7 linked regions of the Mus musculus genome follow. The protein of the gene in region 4 binds, or shares a complex with, the protein of the main gene of each other region. Links are inferred from orthologs where the notes say so. Each region holds a gene or a part of one and is shown on either strand. Other genes may lie near its edges. The genes, in order: Ppih, Prpf8, Snrpd2, Snrpf, Lsm3, Srrm1 and Eftud2.

Region 1 (4,162 bases), on a different chromosome or scaffold from region 4:
TGAGTTCGAGGACAGCCTGGTCTACAGAGTGAGTTCCAGGACAGCCAGGGCAATACAGAGAAACCCTGTCTCAAAAAACCAAAAGCAAAAACAAAACAAAACAAAAACCAAAAAACCTTAAAGGGTGTAACAACCAGGGCTGGAGAGATGGCTCAGTGGGTAAGAGCACTGACTGCTCTTCCGAAGGTCCTGAGATCAAATCCCAGCAACCACGCCCTCTTCTGGGGTGTCTGAAGACAAGTATAGTGTACTTACATATAAGTATCTTTGGGCCGGAGCAAGCATGAGAGAAGGAAAAGAGGGGGGGGGGGTAGCAACTGAATGCCCTCCAAAACAGAGGCAGAAGGGTACTTGGTAAAAGTGGTATAAGAGAAGCCAGCCTTTACTTCCTGGTCTTTGCTACCAGCAGTGGCAAACAGCATTTTAAATAGGCAAAGCCCCATACGATTTACTAGCCTAGAGACCCATCCCATGGGCAAACAACAATCCCTGAGACTGTTGTGCTTGCAGACAGGAACCTCGCATGGCTGTCCTGAGAGACTCCACCCAGGAGCTGACTCAGGGATGCAGAGACCACAGCCAAACATCCGATGGAGCTTGAGGACTCCTGAGGGCCTCCGAGGGGATTGGAACTCCACAGGAAAACCAAGAGTCAACTATGACCCTTGGGGCTCTCAGAGACTGAACCACCAACCAAAGAGCATAGACAGGCGGGACCTAGCCCCCTCCCACACACACACGGTCTTTCATGTGGGTCCCGAACAACTGGAGTAGGGGCTATCCCAAAAGCTGTTGCCCTGCTGTGGAATTCGTTTCTTCTGCTTGTCTGGACTCAGTGGGAGAGGATGAGGCCAGCCCTGCAGAGACTTGATGTGCTAAGGTGGAGGGAAAACCAGAGGGGGTCTCTACCCTCTCAGAGGAGAAGAGAAGGAGGGGGTGGGGAAACCGGGAGAGGCGGCAGCACTGGGGATGTAAATGTGAATTAAAAAATAAAAAATTTTACAATCATAAGAAAATAAATAAAATTACATTTCCAGCACCCGACTGAGCCAGGCTACAGTAACAAACCATTTTAAAATATGGAAGGTGACTCAGGGATCCTCGGCTCATGAGCTGTGACAGGGGACACCAAGTGTGACTGCTCAGGACATGCTGTCTGCAGAAGATTCATTTCTATTGCACTAATACAGTCATGCAAGTGGGGAGCCCACAGACTTTGACAAAGATGCCTGCGTTTCCTCCCCTCAGCTCCGACCAGCTCAGCCAAACAGTACCATTCCCAACAACCTCAGCGCGCGCCACACTTCCGGGGCGGGGCGCAATCGCGGTCCGTTTCCACTGCGTCTGCGCTCCGGATGAAGTTCGCGGGACCTGCCACCGGAAGCCGGGTTTCTACTTCCGGGTCAAAGCCATGGCGGTGGCAAATTCAAGTCCAGTCAATCCAGTGGTCTTCTTCGATGTCAGCATTGGCGGCCAGGTGAGGTGCGGGCGACCTAGCGGCCCGTGCGGGCTGGTTGGCCTCGGGTAAGGGAGGCAGCCCCTTATAGCCCTCCCGAGACCGGCTGGGCCAGGCGGCGGAGGGAGGTGGGAGCTTTCGAGCTTCGTGGACAGCGGTCGTGAGCTGAGTGTTGCGTCTCCCGTTTCTTCTGCAGGAAGTTGGTCGCATGAAAATCGAGCTCTTTGCAGACGTGGTGCCTAAGACGGCAGAGAACTTTAGGTAAGGATATGCTCCAAGTGAACCAGAGCTGAGCCCGAAGCCGGCCTCCAGTCGGTCTTTGCCATGTCTGCCTCTGTCCATCTATTCATTGCCTTGCAGCTCTGTGGTCTGGGTATTTCACTGGCCAAACAGCTACCGGCTGTGACTGATCCCATATCAACTTCTATCACTAGTCTACCTGCCCTGACATCCGCCCGATCAGTTAGTTGGCGGACATACTGGCCCCAGTGTTTGAACTCTCCTCTCCAGAGATTAGAGGTGCTTCAAGCAGTGATCGTACGAAGGCTAAATCGTTTGCTCTCTCTTTCCCTTTAGGCAATTCTGCACCGGAGAGTTCAGGTCAGTCTCAGATGTGTTTGATTTCTCTGCCTACTCCTGAAGGGGTGCCCTGGATGTTTGGTGAGGGTATTGGAGAACCATGAACAGGTCTTAAGTAATGGAAGATGATATGCAGAGAGAGGGTGACACCTTGAATGGGTTCTTTCTCTCTCTTTTTCCCCCTCCAGATCTTAGTGAGAGCCCTTTTAGCCTCTGGTGTAGCCTAAATGGGAAAGGCCCACCATTGTGTTTCCCCATTCCAAGTCTCTTCCTTCTTTGTTTACAGAAAAGATGGCGTTCCGATAGGATACAAAGGAAGCACCTTCCACAGGTAAGGGAGGTTTTTGGAAAACTGGAAATGCAGTCATTGCTTGGTATCTGTACAGGCAGTCCTGCACACCTGAGTTCAAACTCTGTGAGGCTTACGGCTGTTGTTTTAAATGGCATGTTCGCGGCTGAGGCTGTAGCTCGGTGGTAGAGAATTGGCCCAGCATTCATAAGGCCCTGGATTTGGTACTGAACACCATGAAGCCTATGCACAGCGCCTTAAGTCATCCCTGACTTGGTGGAATGCTGTATTGCAGAAACGATGCCAAGGAAAGCATGCTGTACCCTTTCAGTACCTGTTCAGTACAGGTGCGTGGCCACGTGCTCCCAGAGGTCTAAGCTCAGATCCTTAGGCTGCCACAGCAAGCACTTCACCCACTGACCCATCTCCCTGGCGCCAGTCAGGACTTCAGCAGAGGCTTTGCTAGTTACCGTTGCTAGGCAGTCATCTGTAGGAGCCTGGCTTTCATGATATATTTACTTATTTTTTGTTAGAGTTTGACAGAAGTTGCTCTATTCTAATCCTGAAAATGTCCATGTCTCCCACATAAGGGCTTTAAAGCTACAGTCTGTAACCCTCCCTAGCATTCTTGTGAAGTAGTATGTGTTTTCCGAGTTCTTCAAGGAAGGCTAAGCAAAGCGAAGGGCCATAGCTGGTGTACTAGCTAACACCATCAAGTCTCTGTGTGTGCAGTAGTCCATTCACCTAGATTTGCTGTTGTTCTTTTCCCCCAAATTGCAATAAGCCCTGGACATGATTTTTTCCTTTGGTGACTGTTGGTGATTCTAGCCTGGTTTCAGCCCCTTCCTGATGTTCAGGTGCGAACTCACGCATCTAAGATCAACTGAGTTAAGACTGTACTTGCTCGCCCTTTTCTAAGCTTCAGTGATTAATCCACTGAATCTTTTCTCAGGATTTTTTTTTTAACTGTTTCAGGGTCATAAAGGATTTCATGATTCAGGGTGGAGATTTTGTTAATGTAAGTACTGCTTCTTTTCTTTGTTATTTTTTTCTGGCAGGGCCCTAGTCTTGAGACTTAAGAGCAATAGCTAAGTTAAGTGGAGAGGGCATGGGATGTACTGTAGAGTTGCTGGCTACCACTGACTGTGTCCTTAGAACACATAACAATACTCTACTGAACCATAAACTTCCACTTTCCAAACCCTAGCTGTTTGTAACTAGAAACTGGGCTTTGCTGGCATACCTATAGGTGATCTGAGACGGTCCACATTCATTGTTCACAGAAAACTTTGAAATTGACTGCAATTTTTCCCTCAAAAGGAAGGGAGCTGACTGCTTTTGTCTCCCATTTTTCCTTCCACATCTGCACATCTTCTGTCACTGTCTAAAAACTCTAGTTTTTTGTTGGATTGCTCTGGGGGGGGTTAGGGGCCGGTCTTTCTTTCTCTTTTCCTTTTGAAAGCTAAGGTATTAATCACAAGCTGGTTAGCAAGCAAGGGATCAGATCAGGAGAGACAGGAAGTTTAAAGGGTGTTCGCTTGCTTGCTGAGGTAGCCCAGCAGATCCATTCTTCACAAAAAGACCATGACTGTTGGTGTCTCCATCCTTCCTTGGAGTGTGTCCAATAAGCTAGAATATCTCTTTCTTAAACCAGCTCTTTCCTTACCCATCCACCTCTGTGCATGCTGTCTCCTTGCTGTTAGCATTGTTTATGTGGGTGTGTTACTAAGTCCTTTTGTCTGAGAGATGGTCTTACTCCATCAGTTGTAAATTTAGTTAGATTTTTGTGAGTCTTTAGAGGTCTTCCTCCTACACAGGGTTGCAATGGCAGGCTTTAG
Region 2 (3,085 bases), on a different chromosome or scaffold from region 4:
AGACGCAGACTAAGTGGGCTCACACTGTGGTCCAGGTGTGTGCCATAGCTACTCACTTGGGCACGAAGATCAGATATGCAGATGAACTTCTTAAGCACGTTTTTCGGAAGAATGTACGTATAACCAGTCTCCTTAATGTCATCAGATGAAACATAAATATGATTGGTCCGCAGATGCAGGTTGGCAGCAGAGATGGCCCTAAAGGACAGACAGGGAATGCCAGCATCTCAGCGCAAGCCCATGCAGCAACATCAACAGGCCTGCCCATCCCACCTTCATGCCTCCACGGTACCTGACTCTCCATTCAGTCTTTGATGAGAAGGTCTGGGTCTCATAGTTGCTAGTGGTTGAAGTGATAATCTCGTCACCGTGCTTGTTGACAGTTCGAGTCTGTGTAGCAGTGAGCTGGGACTGTTCCTTGGTCTGCTTTTCAATCTCAGCTATCTGCTGCCGCTGCTGCGATGGCGCCGAGATCTCCATTCCCAGGATGATGTCTCGAATTTCTGACTGTGTCAGTGACGCCACATTCACGCTGTGGGGACACTGAGAGTTAAAAGAGAAGGAGCTCTTCCTTCCCACAAGTCCCTTTTGTCCTGATGACAAAGTAGACTTGGGGAGACAGTGGGTATACTCTGCCAAGATAATCCTCAAGTAAGATTTCTTTTTTTGTTGTTTAAAGATTTATTTATTTTATTTATATAAGTACACTGTAGCTGTCTTCAGACACTCCAGAAGAGGGAGTCAGATCTCGTTACAGATGGCTCTCCAGCCGGTAACATTTCTTTTTAATTTTTAAATGTATCTGCTCTGGAGGAGGAAGCCATGTATCACATTGCAAATGCAGAGGTCAAAGTTAGAGAAGGTTTCTCCTCCTCCTGTGGGTTCTAGAGATTGAACTCCTGATAGCAAGCACCTGTACCCCTGGACCTGAAGACGCTGTCACACTGTGGAGACTCCCTACAGCCAAGCAGCACCACACTAATGCACACGACCTTAAGCTACTTCACCGCTGTAGCTTTTCCCACAGAAACTGTCCTGACACAGGACAACTCTCAAAAACGGAAACCCCAAATTGGGTGTAGTGAGACATACTGATATTTCAGCAGCTACAAGGTTAAGAGGGTTGTTGGAAGCTTTAAGGCCAGCCTGGGATACAGAATGAAATCCTGTCTCAAAACACAAGAGAAATGTAGACAGAAGGAACAAAAAAAGAGAGTGAATCTGTTCAAAATGGCTTCAATGCCTTCACTGAGATCTGTGTTTCTTCCTAAGTTTCCAAGATGTTATTTTTCTTTTTCTTTTTTTTCTTTTTTTTTTTTTTTTTTTGGTTTTTCAAGACAGGGTTTCTCTGTGTAGCCCTGGATGTCCTGGAACTCACTTTGTAGACCAGGCTGGCCTCGAACTCAGAAATCCACCTGCCTCTGCCTCCCGAGTGCTGGGATTATAGGCATGCATTACCAAACACAGGTAAAATATCTGAGAAACTGATAAGCCTAAATGTTTCCAAACTCCAGAGCCTATGTCCTGAGCCAGGCTTCCCCTCGCTGCACTGGGACACCTGGCCCCTACTCACTTGTTTTTCTTGCCGTAGTCAGCCAAGATCAGATCCTTGAGCTGTACCTCCACCTTGATCCATTCCTCGTCAGTCAGCGTGGGCCAGATGTGGTGGGGTTCCGTAACAGTAGTCTTGTCTGGCTTCAGGATCACCTTTGCTCTATCATTGTTCACATGCAAAGCCCGCAGAATCAGAATGAGACGGGAGAAAGCCTGGGAAAAGACGTGCAAAGCATGACATCAGTTTTGTGAGGCTCTCTCCTCCTTTACCCTAGCCTCACAGCCTCACTGTCCCCAGTTGCTTAAGGTGCCAACCCCTCTGCAAGAGTTCCTGCTCTTTGTATACATAGGTTCAGATTTTAAACTGACCTCATCAAGTGGCTTCTGGAGAACCCTGAGGCACACAGGCTCCTCTCCTGACTCCACATTCACCCCAGAGAGGCCCTCTTCCTAAGCATCTAATTACCGTGTAGGAGGAGATAGTCTTGAGCCAGTCATCATAGAGGTTGAAAAGGACCATCTGGGGCTCGGTGGCTTTAAGGATGAGATCCCCAAACTTCTCCACCTTGAGACAAGCCTGGAAGGGCAGCTGGAGCTCCGATCCTTTGATCACAATATTGGGGAAATCCAGTAAGTGGACCTAAAGGAAAGCCCGAGGTCAGAGACACAGCCCAGAGGGCGTGGGCCTACCTCCTTCTACTGTGTCCACCTCTCACCTCCAGAGGATCCAGCATGCCCTTCCGAGTGACAATGATCTGTTTAGGCTGTTCCTCCACAGGCAGAGATCGGATCAGGGCAGCCACTTCCTCAGCAGTCTTCCACTTGGCCAACTAATAACCAAAAAGGAACAAAACAAACTGAGTCTACCTTCCTCAATTATCTAGAAAAAAAAAAATCTTGAAATAAACTGTTTCTATAACGACGAACATGGATGCTAAACTTAGTAATCAGAAAAAGATGCCTACATGTTTAATGATGAATTATAGTTGTTCAGAAACAGTGAAGTAAGACAGGCGCCAGAGCTACTGGCATCAGATTAAGATCATGCCCTTACAGAAGACGTGAGGATGTGGTACCCAACATCCACACCAGGCAGCTTACAACTGCCTGTAACTCTAGTTCCAGATCTGATGCTCCTGGCTTCTGTAGGTGTCGTGTCTCGCCCCCCCCCCCCCGATATTTAATTTTTAGAGACATGATCTCACTATGCGGTCCTGGATGGCTTAGAACTCAATATATAAAAGAGGATGGCTTCAGCCCGGCGTGGTGGCGCACGCCTTTAATCCCAGACTCAGGAGGCAGAGGCAGGCTGATTTCTGAGTTCGAGGCCAGCCTGGTCTACAAAGTGAGTTCCAAGACAGCCAGGGCTATACAGAGAAACCCTGTCTCGAAAAACCAAAAAAAAAAAAAAAAAAAAAAGAGGCTGGCTTCAAACTTGCAAAGATCTACCCAGAAATATTGTTTCTCAGTAGAGAAATTGGTATTTTTTTATCATGTCCCTTTGCCCTCTACCAAGAGAGACAGCCAGGTT
Region 3 (4,208 bases), on a different chromosome or scaffold from region 4:
ATGAGTGGGTTCCGCAGCACCACGATGACCGAGTCCCCGCGCAGGAACATCTTGGAGATGTAGCGGTCCTTGTTGACAGGCTTGGATTTCTTCTTGCCCTTGCCGCTCTTGGGAACCTCAGTCCACATCTCCTTCACATTTTCCAGCACCATGTTGCAGTGCCTGATGGGGTAGGGGTGGGGGGGGAAGCTGGAGTAAGGGGGGGCATTCCGAGTGCCCACCTTTGCCTGGCACTGTGTGAACTCTCCAGCAGCAGGCATAAGGAAAGCCCAGGCTCCACAGTGGGGATGGGCAGGCTGCAAAGTGATTTCACTTTATAGTGTCCCTTCTGTGCCTCAGTTTCCCCCTTCATGAAATGGAGACAGTCTATTTCATAGGGCTGGTGTGAAGATTGGATGAATAAAGAACTCAGGACCCAGCAGAGTAAAGCCCACCAAAATGGCCCTGGCTCTGGCGTTAACTCTAACTCTGAGAGAAACAGCAGGAGAGAAGCACTTGCTCCCTCCAGAGGGTCTTAGGGTGCTGGGGTTAGACACGGCTCCCAACACGCGCACTCCAGTGCTGCACAGTCCTGTCCTCATGGGGCCGGGTGGCCATTGTTCACACTTGGATCAGTTCTTTCCACAAATGCTTGCTTGAGGACAGTGAATAAGAGCAAAGTACAGTGCCAGATGTGTATGGCTAAGTCACAAGGCAAGTCCCATGCTAACTAAAACAATAAAGCAGGACGGCATGCTTCATGCAATCCTGTAATCCCAGCGCTCGGGAGATGGGAGCAGGAGGATTAGAAGTGTAAGGTTAGCCTCTGCCACATCTGTAGCCAGTTCGAGCTACATAGTAAAGACCCTGTCTCAAAACAAACTACAAAGCAATACAAGATATTTGACACTGATGTCTGGTCTACAGATAAACAAATCAAATATCGAAATTCCAGTCCAATTTCCTGCCAGGGGATTCTGATAACTACTAGACATGTCCATAGCATACAGACTCATATGCAGACAAAACACCTAAACACGTAAGATATGTATTATAAAAAGGTTAAGCATCGCCACTTTCTACATTTTTGAGCTAGGTCGTGCCATGAGACACTGGCTGGCCTCCAACTCATAGTGATTCCCCGAGTGCTGAGATTAAAGGTGCTTTGTCACCGTGTGTGCCCACCTTATTATCCTTCTGGAATGACCTTTCCTTCAGGCCCCTCGGACCCAGACCCAGCCCTCCCCAAGACAGCACTCACCTGTCAAAGGCCTTCACCCGGCCCAGCAGCTTCTTGTTGTTGCGACAGTTAATGAGCACTTGCGTGTTGTTCTTGACCGACTGCGTGAGCACTGAGAGGGGACCTGTGTTGAATTCCTCCTCCTCCCGCTTCTGCAGCTCCTCTGGGGTCATCTCACTCTTGGGTTTATTGAGGAGACTCCTGGATAGAGAACCCAGGGGTGAGATGGGTTCAAGTTGGAAATGTACGTGATCAAAGCCACACTGTCCAGTGTCTCCCCAGCCCCCTTTCTGGTGCAGTCTTTTCTGGAGGCAGGAGAGACATTTCCATGGTAGCCTGCCCCGGCTCATCTACCTAACCTCTTCCACCCACCGCTGACCTTGAATTCTCAATTCTCCTGACTCCACTGCCTAAGGTCTGAGATGACAGAGGCTCACCATCATGCCTGGCAGTTGATTCTTCTTTCAAACCTTACTCTATCCTTATATCTTGTCATCTGCCACCATGGTACATCCAAACCTTGGCCCTTTCTATCCGCAACCTAAACTTCAATCATCTCTCTCCATGAACCTCCGCCCCACCCCACAACATCTCACTGTAGAAGCCTGGCTGCCCCAGAACTCAGACTTGTCTCTGCCTCCTGAGTATTGGGAGTACAGGCACGTGCCACTATGTCTAGTTTGTGTGTGGTTAAGGACCAAACCCAGTACCCACAGTAGGTAAGTACTCTGTCCACTGAGCTAAATCTGCATCCCAAGAACTGGGCTTTCAATGCATCCTACTGTGCTACCTACTGGCATTATATCTTTCCTGCTCAATTCTCCATCCAAACCTGATTATCTAAGGTGTATGTACCTATTTATTACTCTATGGCTTTCCTACTCCACTCTTTTTACAAGCACCAGGGAGATTCCCCCACCCCCTTGGAGGCAAGGACCTTTTATTTACCATGTGTCTTAACTTACAAGCAGTCTACATAGTATATGCTCAATGAATAAACACGCACCAAACCACTGTAGTACCCTGCTACTCTGACAGTCTCTAGTTAGGTTCTCTAATTTATCCTGGTTACGTCCCATACTTTTCACTATTTCTAACAGTTCTTCCTTCCCCGCCAAGCTCTTTATTCATAAGACCACTTCCATTTAAAATTACTATTACTTTTGGAAGCGGTCTCGCTATGAAGCTGGCCAAGGCCAACTAGCGAACCTCCTGCATCAGCCTCTCGAGGCCTGGGATTCCAGGCATGTGCCATCAGACTCAGCTTTCCCTTTATGGTTCCTTTCCACAAGACTCAGGACCTCGGAGAGTCTCATGCCCGTTATGGAATAAAGCTGTCCCCTCTCCGGAACTCAAGATCCGAGCGAGGCCCCAAGCCCGATCTCAAATACCCCAGAAGGAAAAACATTACTTTTGCCCGAGGAACTCTACCCTCAGCTATAAAAACACCCCATTTCGACCGTTATTCAGCTAAACTGTCCACCTCCATCTCCACGGCCCCGCCAAAGCCCAGCCCGGCCTCACATGGTGTAGGTTTCGCTCGCAGATCACTCCCGCCTCCAAGCGCGTTGCTCCAGCCTTTGGCGTACAGGGCGAGAAGGGCGGGACTTCCGTCTCCTGCGGCTCACTTCCGTCGGCGCCTGCGCAACCAAATACCAGCGGCTGTGGGCGTGGCCTGTTACCATAGCGACCCTTCAGGCTGCACTCTCCTGTAGAAAATGCCTATAAGGAGGATTTGAAGCTTCTGAGGATCACAATAGGGTGTCTGCTCATGAGGAAAATAATACGGGGTCTGACTAGAATTATTTTCCCGTCAAACCGTCCAGTTGGAAGATGGAAAACACAACCCCATTTCCAAATACCCTCGGACACTTTTCTTGAGGGCATGGCTTCAGGTAAACCAATCGGCTCCTTGTTTTAGGGATGGATGCCGCCCCTTTTTTCCTTGAACGACAGTTTCTTGATCGACTTCCGTGAGGGGCGTGACCCCGCGCCTTGGAAGGTTTCGCACATTCGGACGCAGCCCATTGACTGGTCCTCTTCCGTGGAGGCGGGCCTTAAGGTTTCCGCCCTCCTTTTTGGGTGGGGCGGCGCTTAGGACAGCCAATCGCAATCGTCTCAGGGAAGGACGCAGTTACTCTGCTTCTTTATTGGGTTTTGTAACCTCAGCGAGGCGGATCTTGGCCTAAAACTCAAACCACCATACCGGGATTGGTTTCAGAGCAAAGCTACCATGAGTCCCGGGAGCCGCGGGCGGCCCCGGCAGCGGCTCGAGGATCGTGGCCTCATGAAACCACCCTCACTTTCCAAGCGCCGTCTTCTGCCGCGAGTGCAGTTCCTGCCCCTGCTGCTGCTGGCGCTGGCTATGGGCTTGGCTTTCTATATCGTCTGGAACAGCTGGCACCCTGGGGTTGAGGAGATGTCACGGAGCCGGGATCTGCGGGTGAGCCCTGGCTGGTGCCCAGCCAGCGTCATTTCCCTCTTTCCCTTCGTATTGAGTCTCAGGTTACCGTGGTCTTATCATTTGGCTTTTGCCGCCTGTGCCATTTATCCATGACTTGAGCGCGTGCCCCTACCCAACAAAATAAGGCTTCAGGCTTGTTTTGTGATAGACCCCACTGAAGATGACGAGTCCTCATAGCAACACTGGTAGAACTGAGTTCTATGCCCAAGCCATCTATTTAGAAATTTCCATCACCCGATTGCAATTTCCTCGTTAGGACTGCGGTAGGCTGGACCAGATTTGCTTTGAAGATTTCTCCCAGTCTAGGAAATCTTTGATGCTGGAGATTTGCATTACCAGGAAGAGCCAGGACTCCTAGTAGGCAACGGCGCCCAGGATAAGGTGGGAATGGGGTTGTTTTCATTTTTCTTTTTCCCATCCCATTTCCCAACCAAGGTCCCGCTGATCGGAAGCCTTTCAGAAGCCAAGCTGCGGCTGGTGGTAGGGCAGCTGGATCCGCAGCGTCTCTGGGGAACTTTCCTGCGT
Region 4 (4,144 bases):
AAGGAGAAAAATACTAACATGAATCTGTCTGAGTCTAATTCCCAGTATTTCATCACCTACAGTATTAAATTAGAAGTTGGACTAGGTATCCCCAGGATTGTGAGTTTAAGATTTATAAATTTGTCAATGCTGACTGAATAAGTAGAGCATATTTGAGTGTCAGGAACAGTAATTATTCTTCCATTACCATGGGAAAAAAATCCGAGCTAAGATTTCGGTCTGATCAAAATGTATCTGAGATTAGCAGCATCATTTTTAAAATTTTCTTTATCATGTTTTGTCTGCATGTGCGCATGTGCACCGCGGGAGGGCCTGGCACCCACAGAAGTCAAAAGAGAGAGATGGGTCCCCGGCACATGAAACTTTGGATGGTTGTGAGTCACCACCATGTGGGGATGGGATTCGAACCCAGGTCTTTTCACGTGCGAAAAGCGCTCTTCTCCATTGAGCCAACACCCCCAGAATGTGTTGGCATACTTTAATAATATAAACGACAGTCTTTAGGCTTAGGCCTGGGCCAATCTCGAATCTCGAGTTATTTGGGGAATCCATGCCAAAAAAACAAAACAAACAAACAAACAAAAAACCGTTCAGGTTCATATAGGGTTAGATCTCCCGAAAAAGAAAAAAGTACTCTTTTTACACGGGTTTCATATCACAGGTGAAGCGATACTGAAATGTTGAGATTATGGGGAAATTAAACGGGGTTCTGATCGATAACTTTCCATCAGAGCGATTAACCTGTGGTAGCGTCAATAATTCCCCACATCCTATTCACAAACACACGTAAACGGACCTCCTTTGGCCTCTGGTTCTGGGAATGCTTAGACATCAGAACGACAAGAGGCCACCACATTATCCGAGACTTAACTTGACCTGGTTTCAACTGTTGTAAAGCCCCACTTGAGTGCTTTTCACTAGCACTCACGTAGTCTTGCTACCCCAGCTTCCTTTAAAAACCCGCAAGTGGACGGACATTCTGTAATAAAGAACAGTCCCATAAAAGGGGGGCCGTGCCAGAGGTGTTCCCCAAGTGCTGGATCTATGGGAGGATGACCTCCAGAACCCGATCTCGTTCTTTCAGCTGAAGGACAGACTAAACCTTCTTTAGCTAAAGAAACCAAGTCCGTTCGCCAGGGCACTTAGCTTCCCCTTGTCCCGAAGCAAAGACATTGGGGTCGCTCAATCGTTCCCACTTCGAACTTGAGCAGTGGACACAAACACACGCTTACCTGGTTGCTAGGAAACAGTACCGCCATCCCCTCCAATCAGTAAACACGTCTTTGGTGGCCAATCACAGAAGCCGAGACAACGCGGCGTGAGGTGAAAGGTCAGGCCGCTTTTGTCGGCCATTTCTCTTAGCGCGGGTCGCTTGGTTGTAGCGGCAGCCGCTCCGGTCACGAGGGGCGGGCAGCGGCGGAGTCGGCGGCTAGCGGGGTGCAGCGCTCGCCGGTGGTCGCGATGGTAAGGACGATGAGCGCCGCGGGGGCTGGAGGACGGGCGGCCTCGCGGGGCCCGCCGCCCCCTGCGCCTCCCATTCATCCCCACGAGGCGCCGCGCGGCTGGCCGCTCGCTCCTGCTCCCGACGTCGGAGGCCTTGGCGGCGCGCGCGCGGAAGCCCTTCCCCTCCCCGAGATCCCCAGCCACCTTTCCGCGTGTTGTTTGTCCCGGAGCCTGAGGTGTAGCCTAGTTTGGGCTCACAGGGTAGGGGTAAACCGAAGCGAGTTTTCCATTTCTACCTAGCACGCTCCGCAGTGCGCCATTTATTCCTTGCTGTTGACAATTTTAGCAGATTGTCCTCTGGCGCAGAAAACCCCGGCTACCCTTCCACTCATTTAATACTGATCTTAGGCGCCAGGAAGATGGGGTGGTAAGGTAGACTCTGCGTTTTCTTAGGAGTGGGAGGTAGGCAGCCGTCAAATAATAACAACAAAATAAGCAATTACAAGTAGCGGTGATTGTTAAGCAGGGAGCTGATAGGATGCTCTGAGAGGTGCACTGCCTAGTTATAACGCAGTGGAGGAGCGCTCTTCTCCAGAAGGTGTCAAATAACCAGACATCCAGGTCACAGAGCAGGTGGAAGAGTATTTCTTGCGCGAGTTCCAAGTAGAAAGTAGGTTTGACCAGTTGGAATTGACAAGAATTGACCGCTGCTTGCAAGAATGATGGTTTTAAAATACAGCCTGGGACCTTAACGCCTCCTAGGAAATATGAGGCTCTGTCAAGTGCAGTTAGAGACCATTGGAGCATTCTTTTAAGTCACAATAGTACATGACTTGATAAGTGGTTTGTGGATGATAAATTATAGGCAGCGTAAATTGGCTACTCATTTAGACCCTGTGCTCTCCAAGATTCTTTGGGATGGTGTGTGAGTGGAATGGAGTATGGGGGTGGTTATGAATTTAAAGGGAATAATACTTCTTGATTTAGCATTAAGAGGCCCTCTCACTGACGATATTGAGCTTTTTTTTTTTTTTTAATGTCTGCAGAGACCACCCTGTACCTTTATTTTGATTCCTTTAGAGCTTGGATAATGTAGGTATTTGGGGCTTTTGTCCATTCGGCAGTGCTCAAAATGGAACTAGTGACCTAAGTATCCTAGGGCAGTGCCCTGTCATTGTGTTACACACTTGCCCCACTCCCATCTGTCATTCGACATTTAATTGCATAATTCATATTTTCGTTTCTGTCAGTGGACTATGAAGTTGGCTAAATGGGTACTTAAATTTCTCTCAGACACCCTCCAGCAAATTATAAAGTGATGGTGGATCGGAGTTTACCCTGTGTCATAAAGTCTTGACTGGTGTCTCAGTAGAGAGTGGGTGGTGGAAGCTGAGGTAAGCAAAAATTATTGAGTGCTGCCTTTGGTTTTTATACAGAGTCTACCCCTCAACCCCAAGCCCTTTCTCAATGGGCTGACAGGGAAGCCAGTGATGGTGAAACTTAAGTGGGGCATGGAGTACAAGGGCTACCTGGTCTCCGTGGATGGCTACATGAACATGCAGGTATGCTGAGGAGGAGGAGCATGGGTGAGGAGCAGGAAACCAGGTTTCTACTGTGTCACCTTACTCCTCAAAGGTTTACTGAGACTGGTGGGAATGCGCACAGATTGACAATAGAAAGTGGAGTCGAGATTAAAGTATGAACCAGGGAGGAGGTTGAACCATGATGTTCTTAGGAGTACTTACACCAGAACACAGAGCTTTGACATTTGGTCTCTAAAGCAGAAGGGAAAACTAGTTTATTACAGAAAACAATGATTCAGCCTGTCTTTTTCTAAGACGTGTCTGTATAGGCGATTAGCACTATGATGCAGTGGCATTAGTACTCAAATGGAACTCTGTACCCATTAAATAGTTCTGTTACCACCTGTAATCCACCTGTAATCCAGCCCTATGATTAAGAGTGGGACTGTCTCTCATGTAAGTGGAATGTATTATAAATTCAGCTAACTTCAGATCAAAAATTCTTAAGAGAAATTATATCTTATGTTCGAGGTACACAGTCCTTTTGCTTTCTCCACTGTACTAGGCTATGATCAGTCTAGAAATTAGAAGGACATTAGGTTCTATGCAGATGCTCAGCTATTTGAAACAAGGAGCTCCAACACCCTTGGTCCTAGAGGCCCTGGAACAAAGCCCCATAAATGCCCTGGGGTAGGCTTTTTGTCCTTTTGTCTGGTTTGATTATAGCTTCAGGATTCATTGATAGAAGTTACTGCTTTTCAGGACTGAATAATATCCCGTTATATAGCTATAACGCATTTTTACAGTCTATTATGTTTGTTTGGTTTTTTTAAAACATTATTTTATGTGAGTACACTGTCACTTTCTTAAGACACACCAGAAGAGGGAATTGGATTCCATTACAAATAGTTGTGAGCTACCGTGTGGTTGCTGGGAATTGAACACAGGGTCTCTGGAAGAACAGTCACTCTTAACTGCTGAGCCATCTCTCCAGCCCCATCTGTCCAGTTTCTTGTAGGGATCAAGCCCAGACCTCTGTACATGCTGACCAGCAGTCTGCCACTAAGCTACATTCTCAACCTGTTCATTCATTTTGATTTCTAGTTTTTAATTTTATTTTATGGATGTCTTGTCAGTGTACTATGTATATGCCTGCTGCCCATCAAAGTCAGACAAGG
Region 5 (4,086 bases), on a different chromosome or scaffold from region 4:
AACTGAGGAAGGCATTCAGCTTCAACCTCTGGCATCCACACACATGTAAACATGTAGTACACATGTACACCACACACATACCCATGTCCACAAAAATGGGTCAAATTTTGCTGCACCTGTTTTGTTGTGAGCATCGAATGACAGTGTCCTTGCTTGAGAACCATGGTCCTATCACACAGCAAGTGACAGGACTTTATGCTGCTTAGTATCTCAAAAGAAGTCTGACAGAATTTGCTGTTTTTTCATAATAAACTATTGTGACTGGTGGGACCGCCTTGGGTAACAAGTGAAGGCGATGCTTAAGTGTTCTTGGGTTGCATTGAGTGGACTCACTTTTTATCATAAGCAGTATTGTCACTGGGAATGGCTTGTAAAGACATGATAGGCTAGCACAGAGGGTGTTTGTTATTTGCATGTAAAATTTTGGGTGTAAGTATTGAACCTGTTACTTAAAATCCACTTGTATCTTTTGAGCCATGTTACTTGTTTCTCATATCTCACCCTCCCACTTCAGGCTTATGATCAACATTTAAATATGATCCTGGGAGATGTAGAAGAAACTGTGACAACGATAGAGATTGATGAGGAGACATATGAAGAGATATATAAAGTGAGTCCTGCAAGTCTTTGCTTTGACAATGTCAGTTCTCAACATGCAACAGCTTAACACATATTTGTGGAAAGCCCATTATGTTCTGGCACCTACTTAGGAACGGTTAATAGATTGTATAACTAAAATGCAAGTGTTTTTGGAGTCACACAACCTGTTTTTAACACTGATCTTAAAGACAGCTGTATCACTAAAGCCTGCCCCAACATGGGTGACAGCTCACAAAGCTGGAACCTGGCACACACTGCACAGCCTAGAGGCAGCTCAAGAGTTTGACAGTGCCCTTTCCTGTCAGCTGAATTGGTCTGAGCCTTTGCCTCATGAGTGCTGGGATTAAAAGCTTGTGCCACCACACCAAGCCCACAAATGCAATAGTTTCTTTTCTTTTTAAATTTAAAATTTATGTGTCTGGATGTCTGTGTATGTCTGTGTACCATGTGCATGCCTGGTGTCCAAGGAGGCCAGAGGAGGTCATCAGATTCCTTGCAATTAGAGTTATAAACAGTCACGAGCCACCCTGTGAATGCTGGGAATTGAACCTGGGTTCTCAGGAAGAGTGGCCGATGCTCTTAACTGCTGAGCATCTCTTCATGGTCTCTACGAATGTGTCATGTGCCTTGACTACACACAGAGGCAGGACAGACTGGTGCTGTAGGTAGTATCTACAGTCCTTATCATGCAGCACTGTGGAGAACACGACATTGCTGCCTTATATCGCTCGTTACCTTTGAGATGGGAAACCAGACAGCAGCTTCCCCTTGGCCCGTTGTATGTTTTGCCCTCTCTCAGCTGACATAACTAATGAACAGGAACATTTCCAAAATAGGAAGGGGCCTACAGACCACTAGGATTCCCAGAGTTTTCCCCTCACGGTGTTTATGATTAACTCCTGAGTGACTGGATTGAGACCAACTAGCTAATAGGAAGACAGAAAGTGGTTGGCCCTGTTCTTTTGGTTCTCGGTCCACCACAGTTAGAGTATTGCTCTTGTTGATTGCTAAAGTGTTTTGGCTCTAGCCCACTTTTCCTGCTGTCCATCATGTTCATCCCCTTCCTTCACCATATAGCCCACAGTGTGGTTAACTGACAGGTTGCTCTTGGTGATGGCCTCTTTGTAGCAGAACCATCTTGACCTCATCCTAAAGCACCAGTCCTCACATAATTACAGACCTTTTGGAAACCAAGGAGACAGCGTCTCTCTCAGACCACCCTGATTAACCCTACCCTTCAGCAGCTGCATGGTCTTTGCCTGAGGACAGAGTGGTTTTAACTGAAAAGCTTATTCATCACAGCTTCTTTTGTACTTACATAGTTGGGCTTAAAAGCATCTGGCTTTGTTTCTTTTTGTCTTCCTGATAACTAGCCAGTTCTTGCCTGATCTCATTTTTGTACTGCCCTGTTGAATGTATCTGTCACACCAGAGCACTTACAAACATCTGGCTTTTTCCAGCCTTCGTCTCCACAGTCTATAGGCTCAGGAGGTTTTTGGCTCCAGGTTCTGCTAACATTTTACCAAGGCTTAGTGATGACTCCAGATGCACCATGTTTGCTGACTGCCCAAAGCCTGACCACTGAGCTAAAGCCTTGGAAATTGTGTTCCCCATTCGCACCCCCAGGAGTACAGAGAAGCAGGTGTGATGACTGGGCTCACTGGAGGCTGAGGCCTGGCCTACAGTCAGCATAGTGCTAAGTTGGGGACATTAAACTTCTACCCTCCTGTTCCTTGAGATCTCAGTGTACAGGGTCCATCCATTGGTAAACAGTGACTACCCATTGACACTCAAAGGAAGTCACTCTTGAAATCCATGGCTAAAATTCCGCCATAGCTGAGGATGTAACTCAGTAGTAACGCATTCGCTCAGAATGTGAAAGAATTCAATCCCCAGCACCCTCTCCCCCAGTCAGTTCAAAACCAGGCATAGTGGCAAACTCCTGCAGTCCCAGCACCTAGGCTGGAGAGGCGGCTCGGAGGCCAAGAGCACTTGCTGCTGCTTTTCTCCTTTTAATATGTGTTTTGGGACAGTCTTTACTTATAACACAGGCAGTTTTGAAATGTGCCATGTAGCTGAGTTGTACTTGAATTCATGGAGACCTGCCTGCCTTAGCCTTCTCCGTGCTAGCATTACAGTCATGAGCCATAATGTCTGACTTGTTTTTATTTTACATTTATCTAATTTTTATATGTATGTGTGCATCTGAGTTCATGTGTATCATGTACATACAAGAACCCAAGTGCCAGAAAAGTCACACACACACACACACACACACACACACACACACACACACACACACACAGTGAAAATAAATCTTAATAATAATCCAGCACTTGTGGTTGAGGTGTGAGAGGTATAGGAATTAGGAATTTCAGACTAACATGGGCTACACAGCAAGACGGACCCCATCTCAAAAAAATAACACAAAACCATCTACCTTGTGTCCGGGTCTGGTCACAAAGAAGCCTGGAAAGTGCACTCTAGCAGTGCACAGCGAGAGAAGAGTGGGTCTCGGTGCGCAGTGGTCCCTGCTGCGGTCACCCAGGAAACAGGCACTCAGACTGCTTACCCTGATCCTGCCTTTCCCTTTTGTTCTCCTCCAGTCCACAAAACGAAACATCCCTATGCTCTTCGTCCGGGGAGATGGCGTCGTTCTAGTCGCCCCTCCATTGAGAGTTGGCTGAGACAAAAGATGGATCCTGTGTAGGAAAGTGGAGACTTTGCCTCTTGAGATGTACAGGACACTCCCAGAGAGAGACGCTCACACGAATCCTGATAGTCAGAAATGACCCCAGGATCACTCTACCCTCGAAGAAGTTCATTTGCAAGCAACTCACAAGCTCTCCAGCTAAATGACCTGTCCCTTTCTCCAGCCCTCCAGTCAGTGTGACCGTCTTGCTCTTTTCAGGAGTTGGTTTGCCCATTGTTCTTGCAGTTACTTTCAGGTTGTTTTTCTTTAAATTAAATTTGATGTTTCCTTTTTTATTACTTTTTTTTTTAATGTGTCTTGTGGATTCTCAAGTTTTTACCTGGTGTGTTCAGTGTGTCTCCCATGTCTAGGGCATCGTGTTGGGTGTGAGGAAGGAGAGTGGCCAGTCTGCCCTGCCCTTATCTGAGGGAGTGCTGTTCTAGCAATTCTGGGGTGGGAGGCCATTGCAAATATCCTTACCTGTCTTAGGGGCCCCAAAAGCTCAGGTAGCACCCAGTAAGAACTAGACAAGGGAGGCACGTGACCCCAGCTGTCAACCTACTGGGTAAATGCAAAACATGACTTGTGTGACTCTGAAGAAACTGTCTTCCAGTCCTGGCTCATAGGCCGCCAGTGACAAGGACATGGGGAGTCTGAGCAGGAAGCAGTGAAAGCAAAGCTACTTCCATTCCGGCTTCAGCCAGCCTACGCTTCACATAGAATCACAAGAACACAGGGCCAACACTTGGTGGTTACCCTGTTGTGAAATAGAGAAAATAGAGCAAGGGCTGTGG
Region 6 (4,100 bases), on a different chromosome or scaffold from region 4:
CTTGGCTGTCCTGGAACTCACTCTGTAGACCAGACTGGCCTTGAACTCACAGAGATACCTAGGGTTTTCAACAGCATCGTTCAGCATCCGGGCCTCCTTCAGAATGGATGCTGGGTGGCAAGGTCAGGAACAGGGCTATCTGTGACAGAACTAGTGCAGGAGTTCAACTCAGATAAGGGACCTTGGGCCTCCATCATAGTGGCATGTGTGTTTCCTGAGGGCTTGGGAGTGGGGTGTGCAGGAAAGAGGACTCTCAACAGCAAGATTGTCCTAAACAAAAGGAAAGCTACTGCCATCTACAGAGACAGAGAAGGCTCAAAGACAGCCTCTCTGATTTCCCTGCTATTTCGATTCATTTGATGATTTTGATGGACGAGACGAACCTAGTCATATCTGGTCTGTGGGCGTTCAAATGGGAAAGTCAACCCCCTTTAAGTAGGAAAGCCAGGAAAAGAAAAAAAAAAAAAATGCCTGGAGACATTCGGGTTTCTACACTAGCACTCCTAGGGCAGACATGCCCACTTCCCGACTTTTCCATGAAAAAGCATTAGAGGTGCGCGTGTCTGTGAAAGATGGAATGTTACAAAGTGGCCCCAGAGAAACTTTTCTGGAGAGAAAGCGCTTGGTGAGCACATTAAAGGGCCGGTTTTGGCCCTCTTCCACTTCCTGCCCTTCGGCGTGGTTTCGCAGCAGAAGCACAGAAAGGTATCCAATGGACACCTCAAGAACAAGCCAGATGCGACGCACATCCGGCGAACACGCGGGCTTCATACGAGCTGACGCTGCAGGCTCAACCCCGCCGGCAACCTCCCAAAACCCACTCCTAGCTCAACTTTCACAATGACAACAACTGGCGTATCGGGCCGCCCCTAAGCAAGCATTCTCTTTTATGACTACCCATGCACCCCAGGACTGAGGCTTCCCCCCCGCCCCCCATCTCCCTTCAACTCCCCACATCCTCCCACTACGGATCAAAGGAAGGATCAACTCAAGTCGCGCGAACACCGCTGATCATGCGCCACAAAAAAAAAAAAAAAAAAAAGATCGGTAGGGTTGGGCGACCCAAAGATTCTCCCTCCTCTTTCCATTGGTTCCAGTCGCCCAGCTCGCCTCCCCTCCTAGCGAAAGGCTGCCGCCCTGGTGCGCTTGCGCATGCGCGTCGTTCTCGTGGCGCACTGAGCAGGCGCAGCCGCAGGCCCGCCGGAGCGGGGCGGGTGTAGCGGCGCGCGCAGCCTCCCGGCGCTGGGCTCCCTTCTGCCGGTCCCGCCCTCCGTCGCGGCGGCGCGGTGCACGCTGGGATAGGGAGCGATCTCCGAGCGAGGCGGCAAGATGGACGCGGGATTCTTCCGCGTAAGTCCGAGCGCGGGGATCCGGGGAGAGGCGAGAGGCTTGTTTGTAAGACCCGAGGGGGAGGCGCTCAAAATCCCGGACAGGACGGCCCGCGGAGGAAGGCCTTAGAGACCCCGAGGGGGTTCGTGGGCAGCGTCCCCCGGCCTCGGCGTTGCGGCCGAGACCGGTGCGCCCCTGCGCAGTCTCCTCCTCCGGGATCGTCCCCCCCTACGCGGCGGTGGCGGTGGCCGGAAAATGGCGGCGGGAATGGGCTGGAGCCGAACCTCACCGGCCGCCTGGCGAGGCCCTGTAGGCCGGGCGCCGCGCCGGCCGCCCGGGCTCGGGGCCTAGCGGAGCCTCAAGGAGGAAGTCTTTAGGGGGAGGCCGGTGGGAAGCCCGGGGCGGCTGCGGGGTACCGGTTGTATGGTTTGGGGCTCCGTCCTGAGAGGTGTTTGAGGAAAGGGGCCTTATTATTTTTTTTTTTTAGTGGCAGCTTTGGAGAAAATGGGTGCCCCCCCCCCAAACCCCGACGTACAGCGTCCACCCTCTGGGTCTTAAGCTTTCCCGGCGGCGCAGGGTCAGAGTTCGTGAGCGCTCCCGCCCAATTTGATAGCTCTTCGGGGAGGGGAGCTTAGATAATTTGTAGTTGGAACATTTGAATCGGAGGCTTTTGGAGTGAACGGTGTGTGCGAGGGTGGAGACAGATTACGGTTGTGACTCCGTCGCGCTTCCCGCTCTTCGCTAGCACCCTTTCCCAGCGGCCCATGTCCAGGCAGGGGACGTTACCTTGGAGGTGGTACATAGATCCCACACAGTAAGGCAGTTTATTAGGTCCACTTTGGAAGGAAAGTAGCTACAGGTCGAGATCTAGATGTATGGGAACGTACACTTGTGGGATTAAAAGTAGCAACAAACCCTTTAGGAATCGCTGATTCTTGTAATGCAGAGTAGAACCTTGTAAGACAGCTTGGTAAAAATCCAGATACCAGCTCTCTGTCATACCACTGCTTAGAGTTTTGCATTCTCTGAATCAAGCATATAGTTTACAGTTTGTGTGCATTTTTAAAGAAAAAATTGGAAGGCGGGGGAAGGAGGAGGGAGATAATAAAGGTGCTTCTTGTATGTGGTTCATGAGAGCTTGCCTAGTATGAACAAGACACTGGGGTCTATCTCCAGCACCTCAGATACTTGCACTACAAACTAGGCACTTAACCTTTGTAGTCAGTACTCATTTCTTATGGCACCGAAGTTAACACTTAAAAACAGTCGAAGGTTTCTTTCACTTGTCAATTGTCTCTTTTTCTCCCCCCACCCCCTTCAGTTTTTGTTTTGCCTTTTCAGGAAGTGGTTTATGTGTGTAGCCTTGGCCATCCTGGAACTCTGTAGTCTGTAGGCCAGGCTAGCCTTGAACTCAGAGATCTGTGTGCCTCTGCCTCCCGAATGCTGGGGTTGAATGAAGACTTGCACCCTGGCCAGGCTTGTCAGTTATTTCTAGTGGAAAGGAGATTGAAGAACTAAAACAAAGCGATATGTCAATTTTCAGGCGAAGATGTCCTTTGAAAAGGACAGGATCTGGAAAATAACCCACTTTTTAAAATATTCTTTTTACACTTACTTAAATGAAGTAGTTTTGTTTTCCCTGGGTTGGGTCTTTTGGGGGCAGGGGCAGTTGAAGTGTTTTGAAACTGGGTTCTCTAACCCAAACTGGCCTTGGACCTAGAGAGTCCTGCCTTGACTTCTCAGTACTAGAATTTCAGACATATGCTACACACTGACAAAGTGGGGGATTTATGTTCTGAGTTAGAAAAACTTACTAGGCAGTGGCGCACACCTTAAATCGCAACACTCTGGGAGGGAGGGGAGGCAGAGGCAGGCAGATCTCTGAGTTTGAGGCCAGCCTGGTCTACAGAGTGAGGCTACATAGAACCCTGTCTCAAAAAAATTTAAAAAGGGGAGAATGGGGGTGGGGAGGTAATTTTAGATCAGTTACCTAGTACAACCTGATTCTGAGTAGAATTCGATTTAAGAATTGGTGATAGTAAGCCGGGCGTGGTGGTGCATGAAAAACCAAAAAAAAAAAAAAAAGAATTGGTGATAGCATTCTCTCTCTCTCTCTCTCTCTCTCTCTCTCTCTCTCTCTCTCTCTCTCTCTCTCTTTCTCTCTCTCTCTTTCTTTCTTTCTTTCTTTCTTTCTTTCTGAAGAGGTGGTTGATAAGATCAAAAGCAGACCAGGACAGCTTTTGAACTTTTTTTTTTAATATTTATTTTATGTATATGAGTACATTGTAGCTGTACAGATGGTTGTGAGCCTTCGTGTGGTTGTTGGGAATTGAATTTTAGGACCTCACTCACTCGGGCCCAAAGATTTATTTATTATTATTAATAAGTACACTGTTGCTGTGTTCAGACACAGCAGAAGAGGGCGTCAGATCTCATTGCGGGTGATTGTGGGCCACCATGTGGTTGCTGGGATTTGAACTCAGGACCTCTTACCAGCCTGGCTTTGAATTTTATTTTATTTTATTTGAAACAGGGTTTCTCTATGTAGCCCTTGGCTGTCTTGGAACTCACTCGGTAGACCAGGCTGGCCTCAAACTCAGAAATTAGCCTGCCTCTGCCTCCCAAGTGCTGGGATTAAAGGCATGCGCCACCACTCCTGGCTGGCTTTGAACTCTTTAGAGATGGCCTATCTCTAAAGGTATATGCCACCACTCTTGGCCCAAAACTTTTTTTCTTTTTCTTTAAAACCTTTTTGGTTTTGCAGTACTAGG
Region 7 (4,276 bases), on a different chromosome or scaffold from region 4:
AAAGCAATCTGATACTTAACCTGGAGTGTTATAAAAATCTAGTTTCTTCCTTTACAGGTAAAATGGAATTGCGTGATGAAAATGTATTCCAGGCTTCTCACTGAGAACAAAACAGAAAGGTTTCCCGTTTGAAGTCTTGACTTTGCTCTCTGCTTCTAACAATATTTTAGACACTAAGGGCTGGATCAGCGGTAGGATTTTGCCTTGTGAATGCAAATGCCTTGGGTTTGATCCCCAGCAAAACACAAAACCACAACACACACACACACCTATTAATTCAGGTGTTTCATCTGAGGAGGCAATTTGGAGTTCAGATTTCTGACTCTTCATTCTTTCACATAGGATTTCTCTATATCAGTTTATTACCATAAAGGAACAGAGCGGGGGAGGGGGGGAGAGGGGAGGACAGACACAGATACAGAGAGAGACAGAGAGGTTTCTTTTATTATCTACTCCAGCTCAAGGACAAAATTTCACACTTCACTAAATGTCTTTAATGAAGAAAAAAAAATCACCTCAACCAAAAGCAATGACAAAGCAGGAAGTTGAGAAGTGTCAGAAGGAGAAAACTCAGTAGCCTCCATCCCCAAATCCCTGAGCAGCACAGAGCGGCAGGCAAATGTGTGCTGTGTGGGCATTATCTCCAGTCCTACCACTGAAGTCCTGCCGCCTCCCGGTATGTGTCTGATGGGGCTGTTTTCATAGGAAGCTATGTGTTCCGGTCTGGCTTCTGACATTTACTTATGATACCTCTTTCCACCTCAGAATCCTGGTGAGCTGGAGCCATAGTTCACTCATGATCAGCCCTAGGGCAGGAAATGAGCTGGTCCGCAAGCAAATCCACAGCCATCCCAACCATGATGGGAAATGGAACGCCGAGAAGTGGGCTGTGTTACTCAGCCAACAATTGTACTCAAGAGTCTCATACCCTAAGCAATATTTTGGGGGGTGAGGAGATCTCGCTGTGCCTAGTTTGCTCTCTCCAAAACTTCTGAGCTCATCATGATCTAGGCTCAGCCTCTAAGCAATAGAGACGATAGACTCTCGCTACCCGACCCATTTCTCTGTCGAGTTCTAAGCCTTCTCCAATTATAGAATGACTAGAGCAATCCCCTTTACTGTCCCTAAACCCTCACCCAGTCTTGGACTCCCTGCTTTCTCTCGAGAAACCCCGGATCTGGTAGAACACCTTAGTGCATCGCCCTCGCAACAGAGATTGTTGCCTAGCAACGGCGCCACCAGTCTGCCCACGTGACCGGCCCGAAGGCCCTCCTTTCAGGCTGTCCTAAGGCGCCTGATCAGAATCCTCCGGCCTTGCTTTTTTTGTGGAGAAGTCCACGCTTCGTTTTGAGGACCAACAAGTTGGCCTTTCCCATTTCTGTCTCCGGGGCCAGAATTTCTCGAAGCTGTTCCTTAGGCAGAGCTGTCCTCCGAGGCGAGGCGGTCCGGCGACGCGCTCGGGGTCCTTCCTAGCGCCGGGCGCCGGCGTTGTCGCGGCGTGCGGCGGAAGCGCGGGCTCAGGCGGCGGACCGGGGCACTCGGCTGAGCATTCGGCGGGTGAGCTGGCCGGGAAGGGTCCTTTCGGGGCTTGGGGAACGAGCGAAACATGAGCTTGGGAAGAGGCGATTTATATAGTACTTATCCCTTTCGCTTAACGAACGCGTAAATTGAATTCTGGCGTGGGAAAGAGAATGAAAGACCCCAACGCACGCACACACCGTCGATTCCGGGGTTTCCGCGGTCCCCAACGTGGTTAAGATCCTGTCCCTTAGTAGAGGTGGCGCTGTAAAGACCCAGGCCCCTGCCACTCCCCCTTCCATCGGTGCCTGCTTCACCGCCAGACTGTCTCCATCTTCAAACTATTCTGCATCCGAGCTGACTGTGATGGCGAGTGCCTAATTTTTGCGCTCTGGAGATGCAGACAGAAATATTGGTGCAGGTTCAAGGCTAAGTAGCGGGTCTGGTTCAAAAAGCCAAAACCAGAAAAGATTCCAGCATTCCTTTGAGATTCTGCGTTGCAGTGGGAAGATGCAGTTTTGGTTATTTAGAGTAGCTTTACTTAAACTAAGCATATCACTAATTCACTCCCCTACCCAAAGCCACCCTCGAAAAACAAAACTAGCAAAACGTATTGAGGGCCTATTTTGTCCCAGGCACTGTTGTCGTTTTGCTCCTATTTTATTATTAACATTTATCAGTAGCGGGCACACACACATGTTCCCTAAGTACTACTCAGGCATAACCTTGACTTTACTTAGGCGAGGGGTGTAACTCGGTGGAGAAGTGTTTAGTAGAGTGTGAGGCCCAGGATTCGATCTTAAGCACCCAGCCACACACTAAGAGATTAGTGTAAGGGTGGCCTGGCAAGTATATGTGGAGTGACAAATAGGTGACATTAAAGGAAAAGGGTGAGTTAAATGAATTAAGAAGGTATACATAGCCAGAGGACAATGGGAATGACAATTATCCTGGGGGCAGAGATGAGTTTGGCTTGTTCAGTAAACAACCTTCTTTAAAAATTTGTGATGGTAATCTTGGGAGAAGACAATGAACATAATTGTGGTTGCCTCTTAGAAATAAAAACAGTAGGTATACTGTAAGAAATACCAGAATTTCAGAACAAAACATTCCACTCCCTTAGCTTTACTGAGTGTCTTTTTGTGCAAGGTGCTGTCAGGGGCATTGGTGCGTGAACACAAAGGAGCATGGGGATTCACGTGCTCAAGAAGGTCAAGTTTTGTTATGACCAACATTTGTTACTTGTTGCTTTTTGAGACAGGGTCTCTCAGGATGTATGTAGGATCATGGGTATAAGATCCTATGCTTGGATAATCACACTGTGTGTGTTTCTGTGTGTGTGTGTGTGTTTCTGTGTAGTAAGTGAGGATCAGATGTGCTGTGGCTTGCAGGTGGAGGTCAGAGGACAGCTTCAGGGTTTGGTCCTATCTCCTCCTTACTGCCAATACCAGGCTAGCTGGCTCTGAGCTTCAGAGAATCTCTGCCTCCCATTTCCTGTTGGCCGTCTAGGATCACAGACACTCACACTACCCTATGTAGCTTTTCAGTGGGTTTCCAGGACTGAACTCAGGTTATCAGGCTGCACAGCTAGGTACTTACTCATTGCCTTTATAAGGTTTTAGGCAATAATAAATCACTCTAAGGAGGTAAACTAACTTCTGTGAGTTACGTCATCCTTAGAAATGAGGCCAAGATAGGATGGATCGAGGTCTTTAACCCCAGGGGCCTGATGCTTTTTCCCCTGCTCTGGTTTGTGTTGCTCGCAAACCGTAGAATTGTTTTTTAGAATAACAACAGTTGCCTAGCATTTGGGACAGAAGATACTGACGAGAGTGAGAGGCTGAGGGGCTGGGAAGGCTGGTAGGGTGAGATCTAAACTGTTCTTTTGAACAGAATATTCAGTCGTTGAAGTGGGGGGAAATCTGCTGATGTTGCAGACAATTGTAAGGTAGCGTGTGGTTGATGAGATTCGAACCTGGGTCCTTTAAAAGAGCAGTGAGAACAATGAGTTCTTACCCATCACTAAGGGACAAGCATGTCCGCTGTCACCATAATTAAGGGTCAAAGTTAGAATCATCAGTGAGGACAAGTTGGAATCGTGTACCTCTCAGAGCAGAGGCAAAGCCACACGAAGGGAGATTCTTCAAAAGCCTTGGTTTGTAATCTGGAAAAGTGTCACGTGAAAGTCAAGTACGATCCTAGTTTGTGTCCTTAGCAGTGTCGTTTGTGACTGGAACAGTTTCTCAAACTTGGTGGAGCCTGTGGATTAGGTAGTATAACCTGCTGGTATTCATTTTTATTTTGATGATTGCATTGTGATATTTTGAGAATACTATTTTTTTTTTTTTAAGTGAGATGCTGGAAAGAGAGTTTAGCATTTCAGAGTACCTGCTAGGCAACCATGAAGACTTGGAGTTAGATCCTACCTAGAACTCACATGACAATCCTCATGTTCCTAAATGATCCAATGCATAAAATTACACACACACACACACACACACACACACACAGTTTAATTGATTAAATAAATACAGAAAGGGAATAGGTGGACTAGGCATTACTTGTACACCTGTTATGTGGGGGGGGGGGGCAGAGGCAGAGGATCTTGAGTTGAAGGCCAGGTTGGGATAACAGTGAGAACCTATTTTAAATGTAAAAATAAAGCCAGATGGGACTGGAAAGATGTCTCAGTGGTTACGACCACTGACTGCTCTTTCAAAGGACCCAGGTTCAACTCTCATCATCCACATGTTAGCTT

Evidence for each region.
Region 1: Snrpf (region 4) and Ppih share a complex: the UniProt entries of both Homo sapiens proteins name them as parts of the U4/U6-U5 tri-snRNP complex. The link is inferred for Mus musculus from reciprocal best matches to the Homo sapiens genes SNRPF and PPIH.
Region 2: Snrpf (region 4) and Prpf8 share a complex: the UniProt entries of both Homo sapiens proteins name them as parts of the U4/U6-U5 tri-snRNP complex. The link is inferred for Mus musculus from reciprocal best matches to the Homo sapiens genes SNRPF and PRPF8.
Region 3: Snrpf (region 4) and Snrpd2 share a complex: the UniProt entries of both Homo sapiens proteins name them as parts of the SMN-Sm complex. The link is inferred for Mus musculus from reciprocal best matches to the Homo sapiens genes SNRPF and SNRPD2.
Region 5: Snrpf (region 4) and Lsm3 share a complex: the UniProt entries of both Homo sapiens proteins name them as parts of the U4/U6-U5 tri-snRNP complex. The link is inferred for Mus musculus from reciprocal best matches to the Homo sapiens genes SNRPF and LSM3.
Region 6: Snrpf (region 4) and Srrm1 share a complex: the UniProt entries of both Homo sapiens proteins name them as parts of the minor spliceosome. The link is inferred for Mus musculus from reciprocal best matches to the Homo sapiens genes SNRPF and SRRM1.
Region 7: Snrpf (region 4) and Eftud2 share a complex: the UniProt entries of both Homo sapiens proteins name them as parts of the minor spliceosome. The link is inferred for Mus musculus from reciprocal best matches to the Homo sapiens genes SNRPF and EFTUD2.

The regions. Positions count from the first base shown.
Region 1 is NC_000070.6:119,317,724-119,321,885, reverse strand, and holds the start of Ppih (peptidyl-prolyl cis-trans isomerase H), read left to right. Parts: upstream 1-1,362; 5' UTR 1,363-1,411; coding exon 1,412-1,477; intron 1,478-1,652; coding exon 1,653-1,717; intron 1,718-2,032; coding exon 2,033-2,056; intron 2,057-2,321; coding exon 2,322-2,366; intron 2,367-3,299; coding exon 3,300-3,342; intron 3,343-4,162. UniProt on the Homo sapiens protein: PPIase that catalyzes the cis-trans isomerization of proline imidic peptide bonds in oligopeptides and may therefore assist protein folding. Participates in pre-mRNA splicing.
Region 2 is NC_000077.6:75,503,777-75,506,861, reverse strand, and holds part of Prpf8 (pre-mRNA-processing-splicing factor 8), read right to left. Parts: intron 2,385-3,085; coding exon 2,271-2,384; intron 2,195-2,270; coding exon 2,021-2,194; intron 1,768-2,020; coding exon 1,574-1,767; intron 533-1,573; coding exon 293-532; intron 199-292; coding exon 57-198; intron 1-56. UniProt on the Homo sapiens protein: Plays a role in pre-mRNA splicing as core component of precatalytic, catalytic and postcatalytic spliceosomal complexes, both of the predominant U2-type spliceosome and the minor U12-type spliceosome.
Region 3 is NC_000073.6:19,148,430-19,152,637, reverse strand, and holds the start of Snrpd2 (small nuclear ribonucleoprotein Sm D2), read right to left. Parts: upstream 2,801-4,208; 5' UTR 2,746-2,800; coding exon 2,744-2,745; intron 1,421-2,743; coding exon 1,241-1,420; intron 163-1,240; coding exon 1-162. Other genes in the region: Qpctl (glutaminyl-peptide cyclotransferase-like protein), read left to right, coding at 3,453-3,662, 4,119-4,208. UniProt on the Homo sapiens protein: Plays a role in pre-mRNA splicing as a core component of the spliceosomal U1, U2, U4 and U5 small nuclear ribonucleoproteins (snRNPs), the building blocks of the spliceosome.
Region 4 is NC_000076.6:93,586,859-93,591,002, reverse strand, and holds the start of Snrpf (small nuclear ribonucleoprotein F), read left to right. Parts: upstream 1-1,344; 5' UTR 1,345-1,461; coding exon 1,462-1,464; exon of another isoform or gene 1,465-1,590; intron 1,591-2,879; coding exon 2,880-3,005; intron 3,006-4,144. UniProt on the Homo sapiens protein: Plays a role in pre-mRNA splicing as a core component of the spliceosomal U1, U2, U4 and U5 small nuclear ribonucleoproteins (snRNPs), the building blocks of the spliceosome.
Region 5 is NC_000072.6:91,519,035-91,523,120, forward strand, and holds the end of Lsm3 (U6 snRNA-associated Sm-like protein LSm3), read left to right. Parts: intron 1-514; coding exon 515-610; intron 611-3,206; coding exon 3,207-3,287; 3' UTR 3,288-3,586; downstream 3,587-4,086. UniProt on the Homo sapiens protein: Plays a role in pre-mRNA splicing as component of the U4/U6-U5 tri-snRNP complex that is involved in spliceosome assembly, and as component of the precatalytic spliceosome (spliceosome B complex).
Region 6 is NC_000070.6:135,350,347-135,354,446, reverse strand, and holds the start of Srrm1 (serine/arginine repetitive matrix protein 1), read left to right. Parts: upstream 1-1,300; 5' UTR 1,301-1,329; coding exon 1,330-1,350; intron 1,351-4,100. UniProt on the Homo sapiens protein: Part of pre- and post-splicing multiprotein mRNP complexes. As a component of the minor spliceosome, involved in the splicing of U12-type introns in pre-mRNAs. Involved in numerous pre-mRNA processing events.
Region 7 is NC_000077.6:102,878,176-102,882,451, reverse strand, and holds the start of Eftud2 (116 kDa U5 small nuclear ribonucleoprotein component), read left to right. Parts: upstream 1-1,476; 5' UTR 1,477-1,557; intron 1,558-4,276. UniProt on the Homo sapiens protein: Required for pre-mRNA splicing as component of the spliceosome, including pre-catalytic, catalytic and post-catalytic spliceosomal complexes. Component of the U5 snRNP and the U4/U6-U5 tri-snRNP complex, a building block of the spliceosome.